Linked DNA regions of Arabidopsis thaliana. The protein of the gene in region 3 interacts with the protein of the main gene of each other region in a pairwise test. Each region holds a gene or a part of one and is shown on either strand. Other genes may lie near its edges. The genes, in order: bZIP2, RR18 and BZO2H3.

The links.
Region 1: the proteins of BZO2H3 (region 3) and bZIP2 interact in binary tests that used the Arabidopsis thaliana proteins (3 or more experiments, as listed by UniProt).
Region 2: the proteins of BZO2H3 (region 3) and RR18 come close enough for resonance energy transfer, tested with the Arabidopsis thaliana proteins (one study listed by BioGRID).

The regions. Positions count from the first base shown.
Region 1 is NC_003071.7:7,897,488-7,901,055, forward strand, and holds bZIP2 (basic leucine-zipper 2), read right to left. Parts: upstream 1,756-3,568; 5' UTR 1,317-1,755; coding exon 801-1,316; 3' UTR 525-800; downstream 1-524. UniProt on the Arabidopsis thaliana protein: Transcription factor that binds to specific DNA sequences in target gene promoters. BZIP2-BZIP63-KIN10 complex binds to the ETFQO promoter to up-regulate its transcription.
Region 2 is NC_003076.8:23,501,068-23,505,968, forward strand, and holds RR18 (response regulator 18), read right to left. Parts: upstream 3,103-4,901; 5' UTR 3,084-3,102; coding exon 2,954-3,083; intron 2,865-2,953; coding exon 2,715-2,864; intron 2,648-2,714; coding exon 2,276-2,647; intron 2,147-2,275; coding exon 2,070-2,146; intron 1,974-2,069; coding exon 861-1,973; intron 784-860; coding exon 718-783; 3' UTR 538-717; downstream 1-537. Other genes in the region: TIL (temperature-induced lipocalin), read right to left, coding at 1-89; AT5G58090 (O-Glycosyl hydrolases family 17 protein), read right to left, coding at 4,489-4,901. UniProt on the Arabidopsis thaliana protein: Transcriptional activator that binds specifically to the DNA sequence 5'-[AG]GATT-3'. Functions as a response regulator involved in His-to-Asp phosphorelay signal transduction system.
Region 3 is NC_003076.8:10,795,942-10,799,999, reverse strand, and holds BZO2H3 (bZIP transcription factor family protein), read left to right. Parts: upstream 1-1,694; 5' UTR 1,695-1,852; coding exon 1,853-2,119; intron 2,120-2,358; coding exon 2,359-2,449; intron 2,450-2,552; coding exon 2,553-2,664; intron 2,665-2,728; coding exon 2,729-2,804; coding exon of another isoform or gene 2,805-2,886; coding exon 2,887-3,012; coding exon of another isoform or gene 3,013-3,079; coding exon 3,080-3,352; 3' UTR 3,353-3,543; downstream 3,544-4,058. UniProt on the Arabidopsis thaliana protein: Transcription factor involved in controlling responses to starvation. BZIP2-BZIP63-KIN10 complex binds to the ETFQO promoter to up-regulate its transcription.

The DNA.
Region 1 (3,568 bases), on a different chromosome or scaffold from region 3:
ATTTATGTCCTTTTGTATGAATGATACTTTTAAGCAAAAATGTTTGACTGACGAAGGTTTTAATACATTTCTAAATAATTATCATACACCTAAGATTTGCTCATCTGTGTTTTAACTAAAAAAACCATAATCTTATATTAAAATGATGGGTTCTTGCAACAAAACCCTCTAAACATATAAGCATCATATATATGTTTGAAGATCTTTTATTTTTCACATACATTATGATAAATTTCTCCTAGTCGCAAGGAACTCTATTTGTTATATAATTGATCATTATTTAGCACTTACGTTGCTGACAACGAATTATATTACAGGTGAAATTTGACTTGGTAGATTTGACATGTTATCTAGAAGTTCCTTTTTATTGTTATTTGCAGAAAAACCAAAACTTAATTGTAAATGCAGCTTATATATATATATATATATAATCATCAATCCAAAATGTGATTTTTTTCATTCTTAAAAATTACCAATCCAAAAAGTTGCTTTTCTCGAAGCATAAACAAACCATTATCCGAATAAACAATTGGAATATTAAGGTGAAAGACAAAATCATGATAACATAAACATATATAATCATATAATTATAACAAAACACACACCAATACATGACAAAGTACAACTCATATATATATGCCCCAATATATATATAAAGTTTATATTTATCCTTCCAACCAATCAAAGATGCATGTACTATAATTACATCATCACACCAACCCAAAAACACCAAAATGGGCTAAATTTTAAAATAAAAAGACAAAAAAGGGGCATCTAATTATTTTAATTAATTTTATTAATCAATACATATTGATATCATTAGCCATAATGGGTTGGTTAGTGTAAACCGAACCACCCCAATGATTAACATTACTCATCATATTCATATCATCGTAATATCCGTCGATCCCAACCGTACGATCATCAAAACCACAGCCGTCGATCTGGTCAACACCAAATCCTGCACCGTTGGATTGAACAAGATCAACGATCTCGTTGAGAGATTGGAGTCTGGTGCTAAGCTCCTCCATCTGAGCGGTGAGAACAGAGTTCTCGGCTTGGATCTTCATGTAAAGCTGAGATGTTACGGTGAGGCTGTTCAAGATCTGACGGTTGTCGTTTGATAGCTGATTGATCTGAGCCGTTAGATCATCAACGTGTTTCTGTTTACGCATCCTTGACCTACGTGCAGATTCTCTGTTCGATAACATTCTTTTACGTTTTCGTTCGTCGACGGTGACGACGGAGTCCGACGGGTTATTATTACCACCGTCGGAAGAGCTTGAGCTCCGGTATGTGCTGCTAGATGACGCCATTGATTTTTAACAAGAAAAGTTACAAGAAGACAAAAAAAGGACAGAGTTTTATGTTTTATGTTTGGTTTTTTTTTATGATCTGTCTGAAAAAATTAATTAGAGTTTGTAGCAATTCATGAAACGTTGTAAAACCAGTAGAGGAAGACGACGGAGAAAGATTGAACGAGATGGGTTCTACGGCAGAGAGCAGATTTGACCGTGAGCCCAGAGAGCAGGATTTCGCAGAGAACGGGAGTCATCAGTTTCCGATCATCAAAAGACTCAAATTTTTATGTTTTCTCGGTCTGAATTTATGATGTCAGAACTTGAAAACAAACAGAGGAAGAGTTTTTTTTTTTTTTTGGTTATTGGAGAAGAAACAGAGGAGCTCTAAATATAAAAAAGAAAACAGCAGAAGATTTTTAAGGAGATAAGGAAGAGAAGATGAGTGAATGGGAAAGAGGTTTTTGATGAAGGGTGTGTTATGGATTATATAGAAACCAAATCTCAAGCATCCACTTGTGTCTTTTTAATTTATTTTGATTTTTTGGGAAATAATGGATGGTGGGGAAAGCTGGAATCGTTTACGCGCCCATTGTTTTATCATTTTTATTTTTTACTAACAAAATGATTCATTATAATTTTATTAAAAAAAATATGTAGGTCAGTAGGTGGATGTTGCTTTTTTATTTTTTTGGTAATGACACTTTACTTTTTGATTGTTTTTTTGGTATTCAAAAGAAAAATATTAATGGTAAGTATAGATTTGTGTGGTTTAATGGTGTGATTAATGATATGTAGTAGGATAGACAAATAGGTAGGTGGTAAAAGTTGACCAGATATCAAGATTAAAAAGAGTGAAAACTATTGAAAATAGTCAATGTCTTGAAAATTGCATGTAGTCAATGTAGGAATTACAGAAAATCTTTGATAATTTTTGTTGCCATTAATTCAGTCAATGGCTTTGAATATTTTGATACATACAATTGGTGAATTAAAAGTGATATCAAATAGGAAGGTGATAAATTTAATAATTTTCCAACGAAATAAAATTTTGTAAAACATTATTTCAGCCAACATTTTAAGAAAATATAGAATATTTAAAAATAAAATTTAAAGTATGTGGATTAAGTAAATTCATGAGGATTTGTGGGATTGATATGTGCTCTGATATTTCAATCTAATACAGTAATTTCGAGCCATGTGATTGATATCAAAATTTTGAATTTAGTAAATGATTTCGAACTAAAAATGTTAGTATCTAATTTGTGTGTACTAGATCATTGTTGTTCGTCTTAATTATTGAAAAGTCTCATAAAGTGTTTGTACGAGTTGTTGAATTTGTTTAACACAAAATAAAAGCTGATCTTACTGAAGGTAAGAACTAAAATGAAACGAAAACTGTCACAAATTGTTAGAAAAAGTTATAATATAGTTATAAGAGATAAATCTGAAGTATGTTTCTAATTATTTATAAATTGTTACAAATCCAATGAATGTCTAATACATGTAACACGTATCATTAATTCATATTCTACAGATAATGTTTACTCCATTTTCAAAATAACTACACTACATCATTTGTAATAATTTCAATTGATTTACTAAATTTTCATATCTATAAAAATGGATTATTCTTTTCTTATTGGTAAAGACACACAAAAAATATAAGAAAATAAAGCACTATCATCATCAACATCATTTCTTTATTTGTATATCTTTTTGTTTACAATTTTAAATTTAATTCTATAACATTTTACAACACTTATCATTACGCGTTTTAATTGTTTGAGCTTTTGAAATTCAACTTCAGAAAAATTTCCTGTGACGAGTCTAACGGTCGGATAATCTTTATATTGATCACAATTGTTTGATGAATAACTATAAACATACATTAAAACAATACTACAGGCAAATTAATTAATAAAACCTTATATTAAAAATAAATTACATATAAATAATAAAAATTAAGTGATAAACCACAATTCAACCAACTCCTTTTCTAAATGAAACAATATGTAAAAATGTAGAGAATTGAAAAGTAATCAAGAACATGAACAACAACAACCTTCAATATTACACCGAATTTTTGTGGACAATATTTTGGTTGTTTTAAAGATTCGAGATCAAATTTACCTAAGTTTTATGAACAAAATGTTATATATGAAATTATAGAATATGTTTTTAAAATGCTCTAGAAACACTTAACAATGTAAGTTGATCGTTTTATCATACGTTATATATATATTTTAAATTATATCATTGATCATATT
Region 2 (4,901 bases), about 13 Mb from region 3:
GATGGGAAAGAAGCAATCTCGTACCAACGGCCCATGTATCTCTCCACGTTGAGCCCTTTCACCACTTCCATCTCTTTCTTCTCTGTCATTTCTCTTCTTTTTCTTTTCTTCTTCTCTAAGATTTCGATGTTTTCTTTGAGGTAAAAGGATAAGAAGAGATTCTGTTCTTTATAAGGAAATAAAAAAATAATATCAAGGAGATTTCGCTGGGACGAGAGGATGCCACGTGGAAAGCGTGTAGGGCAAGGGTTCTAGTAGCGTCTAGCAGTTACAAATGTGAATAAAGGTGGAGGACACAAATGTCTTCCTTGTTCTGTGGGAAGAAGGATACAATACAATGGGCCATACAGTCACATTTTGATTTGACTTCCTCTAGCCGTTTCTAGGCCCCACCAAATTATCCTATCGACATCTAAATATCTCTTCTTGTTGACACTTCAAAATAGCTCCATATGTAAACCAACGATCTCAATTAGGCCCATTACTATTCGTATATTGGTTTTGAATAACAACACTTATTCAGAAACTTTATAAAATAAATTTTTGTAACAGGCTCGCTTTCAATTCCAATTCATAAAAGAGAGTATGAAACAGGTTGGTGTACTATGATCTATTGACAGTCGGAGGAAACAATGTGGGAAGAAATTTAAAAAAATCACATGAAAATGGTCTCAAGTGGAGAAACTTAATGCAACTGGTAGAGAAAGAGATGACTAGCTAAGGTGGAGGAAATGAATCAAAGCCAAATCTAGTAGCCACTGGCACCATTCCGTTATTCTCCTCCTGCAACAAACACATTCACTTTCATTTTCTACAAACTACAAAAGCTTTTAATCCAATCAAGAAAACAACCGCGTTACCTGTTTCATCATCTCATTCATTATGTCATCGAATACATCATGCTGGTTGTCATTCTCTGGCTTTCCCGACTTCATCTCTGGATCCAGCATTGTAGTAGCTTTTCCAACATACTCTTGACTGTTGTCTATTGGGTTCATCAGTGACTCATCCAAGCCTTTGCTTCTGGTTGAATTGTTGTCTCTGAAAACCATGTTATCTGCGGGTAGAGGATACTCAATGTTACCGAATGGATTGTTCAGCATGGTGCAGTTCTGTTGCTCCCATTTCTGTCCGCCTAACGGATTCACGTTCTGCATGAAGCCGCCAAGTAATTGAGGATCACACTGCATCTCTCCACCAGGATTCTCTGCAGAAACCAAAGAAGTACAATCTCCCAGATTGTTCCCTGCACATGTCACTTGATCCGGCAAGAAAGCAAGATTTAGTGGTAAGGAACTCGGTGGGAATCTGGTTGTGTTCAAATTCCCTTGCCAGCTATGACCAGGAAATCTAGATAAGCCTTGGAAACTGATGTTTGGGGAGGCAGAGTTGGACGGAGTTCCCTCGATGCAAGGCTGAATTCCATCTGAGGCTATATGCAGGGGTTGTGTATAGTTTGCTTGCAACATTAGAGGATTGGTGGAAGCACTTGGTAAAGAGGTGCTAGAGCTACCAAATGGCATACAAGTATCTAGGAAGCTACCGCCAATAGCTCTGTCCCCTAAGCCTTTAAAATCTCCAATGTATGACTTGCTTCTAGGAAACTGGAGGGGTTCTAGTGGAGATGAAGTTCGCTGAAACAGATTCACGTTCTGGATTCTTGGTGACAGAGTACTGTGATATGTTCCAAACGGATTAGCTGAATTGCTTGAGTTCTGGTGATGCCCCTGTTGGATGAAGCTGGAGGAGTTCATTCCTTGGAGATTTATCGATGAATACATAGGGGGTTGGAGTTTGGTGAGATGGGAACGCGATAAGAGTCCTGAGCTTGGAATTTGTCTTGCGGCAGTAAAATCTCTAAGTCCATCAAGTTGAGCCATCTGAAAGTAAGATGAATCTCTTGTTCCAAATGCATCTGGGGTCATATTTTGCTGCTGACCTTCGTCTATCTTTTTCAAGTACAGTCTGTACTTCTGCAACCAAAACCAGAGAATAAAACAAGTCTAACCATCCAAGATTATATTTGCGAAAGAAGGGGAAAAATGCAAGAGAGAATGGGGAATTAGTACCTGCAAATGACTGGCTACGTTTTCCCTAGTGAGACCTTCTATACTCATGAGATCAAGTATTTTTTTGGGAACAGCCTCTGTGATGAACACAAGGAGAAATGAAAAGAGGATCCCACACATGAAAGCATCAAAATAACTCTATAGGAGAAACAAGAGTGGACATCACACATAAGGAAAGGTTTAAAGAGGTCTATGGGGAAACTCACTGTCGAGGCCCAATTGCTGAACGGCACTGACAAACTTCTGGTGAAGCTCCTGAGACCAAACAACACGTGGCTTCTTCCGCGTACCTGACCCGTCACCATCCTGTTCACTCCCCTCACCATCATCCTCTTCTCTGTCACTGTCATCTTCATCACCACTGTCATTGACTTTGTCTTTCCGTTTCCTGCTGGCGCTTGGGACGGAATCAGATTCAGAAGGTGGGAGCAGTTTTGCGTAAGATTTAATGTTCTTCTTCACAACATGATGCCATATATTCTGAAGCTCCTTGAGTCCAACAGGCTTGACCAGATAATCGCAAGCGCCATGTATAATACCTTTCATAACGCTGTCATAGTCGCTATGAGCTGACAACACTGAGACAATGAAGCAGGTTACAATAAGGGCTAGAGTTGATATGAAAAACAATGGTAGGAGACGTACTGATGACAGGAAGGTCCATTTCAAGACCAATTTCAAGCAACTTAAAACCATCCGTGTCTGGCATCTCTACATCGCTTATCACCAGATCAAACATGTTGCTGTTTTCTCTCAGCATTTCCAGAGCTTTCCTCGACTCCATTGTCTTTGTCACTGGCGTAATCAATCAAACATCATTGACCATGCACCCCAATTCCGAAGCAGACAGGTAAAAAAAAACAAAAGCAAAGAATATGTAGTACCATGATACTTGCAACGAAGCAGCAACTCTTCGAGTTTCCGAAGGCAGGTTGGATTGTCATCCACAGCAAGAACCCTCATTCCTACAGGAAACTTGTCATGCCTTCCATCTTCAGTGCTTCCAAACTCCATATTTGATGCAATACGTTTGCAAGTCTCCTCTCTTCAAAGGAATATAGTACATAGACTAAAATCTGATCTGTTTTATTCTTAAAACCTCAAGTTTGGGACTAGAAGAAGACCATAGTCCTCCTATAGACAAATGTAAAAAGATAAAGACGAGTGGCCCAAAAGAGAGAGTGATTACGCGGTTAATCTGGCCCTTAATTCTCCAAATAATTAGAAATTTCCTTCTGTTTCTGCTCATATTTCCATAAATGAGGACGTGGAGAGAGTCACATGTTCCTCTAATTTCTCTTTTGTTGGTTGAATCTTGCCTTATCTGAGCACAAAAGACAAACTTTTCGTAAAGTGAATGTAAATGTCCCCATTTTGTTTCCTTACTCGCAAATAAACGTTCAAACCCAACGTTTCAACCTTTCCTGGCTTTCCTTATATATATGCATTTCCTATTTTCCATAGAAATGTTTTTCCTTTTTAGTCTTCTAAGTGAATGCACCAAAACAAAACAAAAAAAATCTGATTTTTGACATAACGCGTATGGTCTCAGTTCCAAAAAAAAAGAGAATTCGACAAATGCAATGGACTGACCTGATCACATTCAGGCATTCGAATCCGTCGACTCTTATTACTCCACATTCTTAGTCAATCGTCATACTTGTGATTACTCTGCCATTTTCTTGATTATTCTATCTGAAATCACAACCAATGTGAAAACTGCGTCACAGATGATTGTTGCTGATGAGTCTCCAACAGTCTTAACTTTATCCATCACCAAACCCTTGGAACTATGCACCACTCCAAAAAATAGTCTTTGATCTGATTTCCACTACCACAGAGACTTATTTTCCAGTTTCCTTCCATTTGAAGAAATCGACAACTCTGTGATCTTCTTATACTCAGATTATTATTACCATTCGATTTCTTCAAATGGAAGGAAACTGGAAATAAGTCTCTGTGGTAGTGGAAATCAGATCAAAGACTATTTTTTGGAGTGGTGCATAGTGCCAATTGGACTCAAAGATTAAGAAATTAGATAATCGTCTCCTAGTTTCCTATCTAGAAGAACGAGAGCAAGGAGAAAGGGAAACTTCATATGAAGAATTGGAAGTTGTACAAATCTGTAGTACTATAGATGTCTAAAACAACAAAAGGACAGTCTCTCCAGCATTTATGAAACAGAGCTCCAGGGAGAAAGAGAGCGCAATAGACTTTCCCAACTACTATAGTACAAATTCAAATGCTCATTTGGGCCTGATTTATTGAACATGGCAATATGGCATTGTTTTAAGGTCAGTTTGGTCCCAGAAAACAGCTCTAATAATCACTTGGTCTAAGGAAGAGAAATCAGAATTCAAGAAGAAAAAAAAATAGTTCAAGCCATCACACAGAATTACAAATTGACAAGAAGAAACCATCAAAAAATAGAGACTGCGATGGCTGCCACCATCAGTAGTGGGAAAAAGAACCCGTGTTCCCGGGCTGCCCCACCGTAGTAAGGTTCTATCATAATCGGAAATCTGCAAGTTCCAGTAGATGGATCTGTCTTGGTCACCTCTGATATGTTTGGGAACTTACAAGCTGTATCAAGCTGATCCTGTATCTGATAATAACTGTTGAATGCATACGATATGTTTTGTTTCCCGTCAAGATTAGCACAGGACGTCCCAACCCCAAGACTAGTACAGTCCCCAAGGCTACACGCGTAGCTCACGGCTGGAGCTACCTGCGGATCATCCAACCTCACATTTGGCTTCATCACACACCACTTCCTCTCTAGGTAGCGTACCCCTTTGGCCTGGATCAGAGCTCCTGTGTTCGTTGTCCCTA
Region 3 (4,058 bases):
CCGTTGAATAGTCCATTCATCGGATTTTTAATAAACCTTAAACATGACACCAGGTCAAAATAAGAATGATTTAGAAATTGATTCATAACCTAACCTACATAATAATTCTTCCTAAAATAAGACAAAATGTCACACGAAATTATACAGTTTGAGATTTTTCTAAACCACTTTAACATAGAAAAGTCTACAAAATTCTACTAATGGTGTAATAGAGACGTACTTTGATAAAACGTAAATCATTCTTTCAAATAGAGTTGAACTACTGATATTCTCAAAGTCAAACCACCAACATCCACTTGGTTTGCAAGTGTTATGTTTCTCTCTCACTAGATATTCTCTTGATAAAAGGTTTTGCACAAGTGTACTAATATATGCAAAAATAAAGGACCCACCAAAATATGCAACTTGAATTTGGATAGATTCTTATCCAAAAATCAGAAGTTTAGTACATTTCTCTAATCTAACTTCACTTACAAAACTATATATTATGTTCCTCTCGGATCTCTCCTTTCCTTTGTAAAATGCAAATGGGAATATTAAATGGACCCATGAAATGAAGTTACGTTACAAAACCGACGACAACTATAATATTTATTATTTATATATTCTTGTGATGCAGATCAAAATTTAAATTGACTAAAATACCCCTTGCCACGTCAGTCTGACTTGGATTTGCCCCAAAAAGCGTTGAAAAAAATATTATTAAATCCAATAAGGCATAAACAAATATTATTACATGTATATTTTAAATATTACTTTAAGCTCCTCATATTCTTCTGTTTTTATCAATTATACACCAACATTTGTTGTTTATAAATATGAACCCCTAATCGTCCCCTTTCAAACGTGGAATATAAGATCGATATATATTACACATTTGAGTAAACAATTAGGCAATGAAGTTTGTGAAGGAGACTGCATTTCTGATAATCTTAATAATTTTTGTTTTCTTAATAATATTATTTATTTTTTTTATAAAATGGTCTGAAAAATTACAATCATTACATCGTTTCTAACGGTTTTTTCTTTCTTAAAGAATCGTTTTTAAATTTAAAATTTTCGATTATTTTTGATTTTTACCGCTAATCTTGGAATTTATCTTGAGTGCTCAAGAGTGAGTAAAATCCCTTACCTCGAAAAATCCCTTTATGGTAGAGGACGTTGGTGATAGTAACAATTTTTTCTCGTAGCTCGGTCATTGTGTCGGCCATTGTGAGATCGAAGAAAGATATTGAGATAAGGTGGGTTAAGCAGTAGATTCTCCGTTTTCCATTGTCCACTAGGATACAATTTTCTTTTTTGACTCTGATCAGTTTTTTCTATTTTAATTTGTGTATCTTAATATTATTATTCGTTGTAACTGTAGGCGAATCTCACCTTTTTTAAAAACATGTTTTAAGAAAGAAAAAAAAAAGTTTGACACTTTAATTATTTTTTCCATTCTATATATCTTATAAACTAAAAATTGTTCTAAAAAGTAGAAAAATTAGTATAACTAAAACCATATTTCCAGATACTTTTTTCCTTTTATTTATTATTAGTTCTGTTGTTAATAAAAATCGTTATAATTTTTTGTATTATGACCTGTCGTTTTTTAAGATACTACAAGAAAACAGTGACCTAACAGAATAAATCAAAAGTTTTTGCTGTAAATAGAAATACACGACTCTTGTCGGGGCCATTAGGGTAATAATCAGACAATTAAATATCTAACAAAACAACAAAACTTGAAAAGAACATATTATTAAAATGCAAGACTGCCCAATCGGATAAGAAGAAACTGTTTTGACAATTTGAAACCAAAAAAAAATAAATAAAACTAAAGAAACAAACAAATTACAAAAGAGAAAAGATGGAAAAAGTTTTCTCCGACGAAGAAATCTCCGGTAACCATCACTGGTCGGTTAATGGAATGACGTCGTTGAATCGCAGTGCTTCCGAATGGGCATTCAATCGTTTCATACAAGAATCCTCCGCCGCTGCAGACGACGGAGAATCTACGACGGCGTGTGGTGTTTCCGTCTCCTCTCCTCCTAATGTTCCTGTAGATTCAGAGGAATACAGAGCATTTCTCAAGAGTAAACTTAATCTTGCTTGTGCTGCTGTCGCCATGAAAAGGGTACTCACTACTCTGCTCAAGTTTGAGTTTTTTTTTTTTTCATAGAAAAAGAAAAACAAAACCTTTTTATCTGTTAGTTTGATGAGTTCACTTGAAGCTAAGAAACTAATCTTGTTTTGTTATGTTTGAGTGTTAAGATCTTATTGGACCTTTTGTATATGATTTGCCATTATCTTCCTTGAGATTATAATTTGCATTAGTTAATTGATTTTGTGGTGTTAATATTGAAAATTTGATAGGGAACTTTCATCAAACCTCAGGATACTTCTGGTAGATCTGACAATGGTGGAGCCAATGAATCAGAACAAGCCTCTCTTGCTTCTTCCAAAGGTTTTACAATACATCTATGATAAGCCTTTTAAGATGTTATTGATAGTTGTTGTGTTTGTTTTCAAGATTTCTTGTAAATGCTAATGGACCAATCTGTATGCAGCTACACCAATGATGAGCAGTGCTATAACAAGTGGATCTGAGCTCTCTGGTGATGAAGAAGAAGCTGATGGTGAAACTAATATGAACCCTACTAATGTTAAACGCGTTAAAAGGTAACAAATTTACATCCTTTCTTGGACTTGAACATGAACATGAACGTGAATTTGTTTGTTATAGGATGCTCTCTAATAGAGAATCAGCTAGACGGTCCAGAAGAAGAAAGCAAGCACACTTGAGTGAGCTAGAGACACAAGTATGTTACTCTCGCAGCGTTCTTATTCTTTCTCCTTTAACTTTGTTTAGCTCACTTGTGCGACAATCTCCATTTCGTGTAGGTTTCACAGCTTCGTGTAGAGAATTCAAAACTCATGAAGGGTCTCACTGATGTAACTCAAACATTCAATGATGCATCTGTAGAAAACAGAGTTTTAAAAGCCAATATTGAGACACTACGAGCAAAGGTAAAATACTTTCTTTTATCTCTCTGTCTACCAAAACTCGCTATTGAAGCATGTTTGTTTTTGGCAGGTGAAAATGGCTGAAGAGACAGTGAAGAGACTCACTGGCTTTAACCCAATGTTCCACAATATGCCTCAGATTGTTTCAACTGTCTCTCTTCCTTCAGAGACATCAAATTCTCCAGACACTACAAGCAGCCAAGTGACTACACCAGAGATCATTAGCTCGGGGAACAAAGGCAAGGCCTTGATAGGGTGCAAGATGAACAGAACAGCTTCGATGCGTAGAGTTGAGAGCTTGGAACATCTGCAGAAACGTATTCGAAGCGTTGGGGATCAGTAGCTGTTAAAGAAGAATCTTGATTTGTAACATTAATCTTAAGACATATGTTAAGACAAAATGTTGTATGTTTTTGTAAAGAATTGTTTTTTCAGATTATTTAAATTTTTTTTTGTCTTCTTCGTTGATTGTTTGTGTTGAACTTCTAATTTTCATTGTACATGTCTTTTGTTAAATTTACAAAGTTTTTCTAATTTCTGTTAAGAATTACAAGTTTTATCAATTTCACCTAGTGAAACTATTGAAATGGTGATGAGGCAACGATGCAAACGTATAATTTTGGTTATTGAAACTAGAAATTACGAGTTTAATCCCAAATTTCGGCTCTTAGAATCGGGTTTCTATCAATAATTTTTGTTTAAATCCGAATTAGATTATAAATATATATATAAATAAAATAACTATAATTAAACCTTATTAATTTATATTTTTTTTCAAAGTAACCTTTAAATTATGATTTAAGATATTCAATTATGTTCGTTTTTTCGTATCGATTATTTTGATTTGGTTCAGATCGGATAAAACATCTCTAATAAGAATTAATATGCTCTTTTGTAGAATTAATATTCATGAAATATTTAGAAATTTTGTATATTATATAAAATTTAGGAGTACTTTTGACGTATTTTTTTTTGTCGACAATTTCTTTGATTACTAACCCAAAAGGGCAAATTATAAGAGAAGTATAGGTGAAATTTGTGGATCCAAA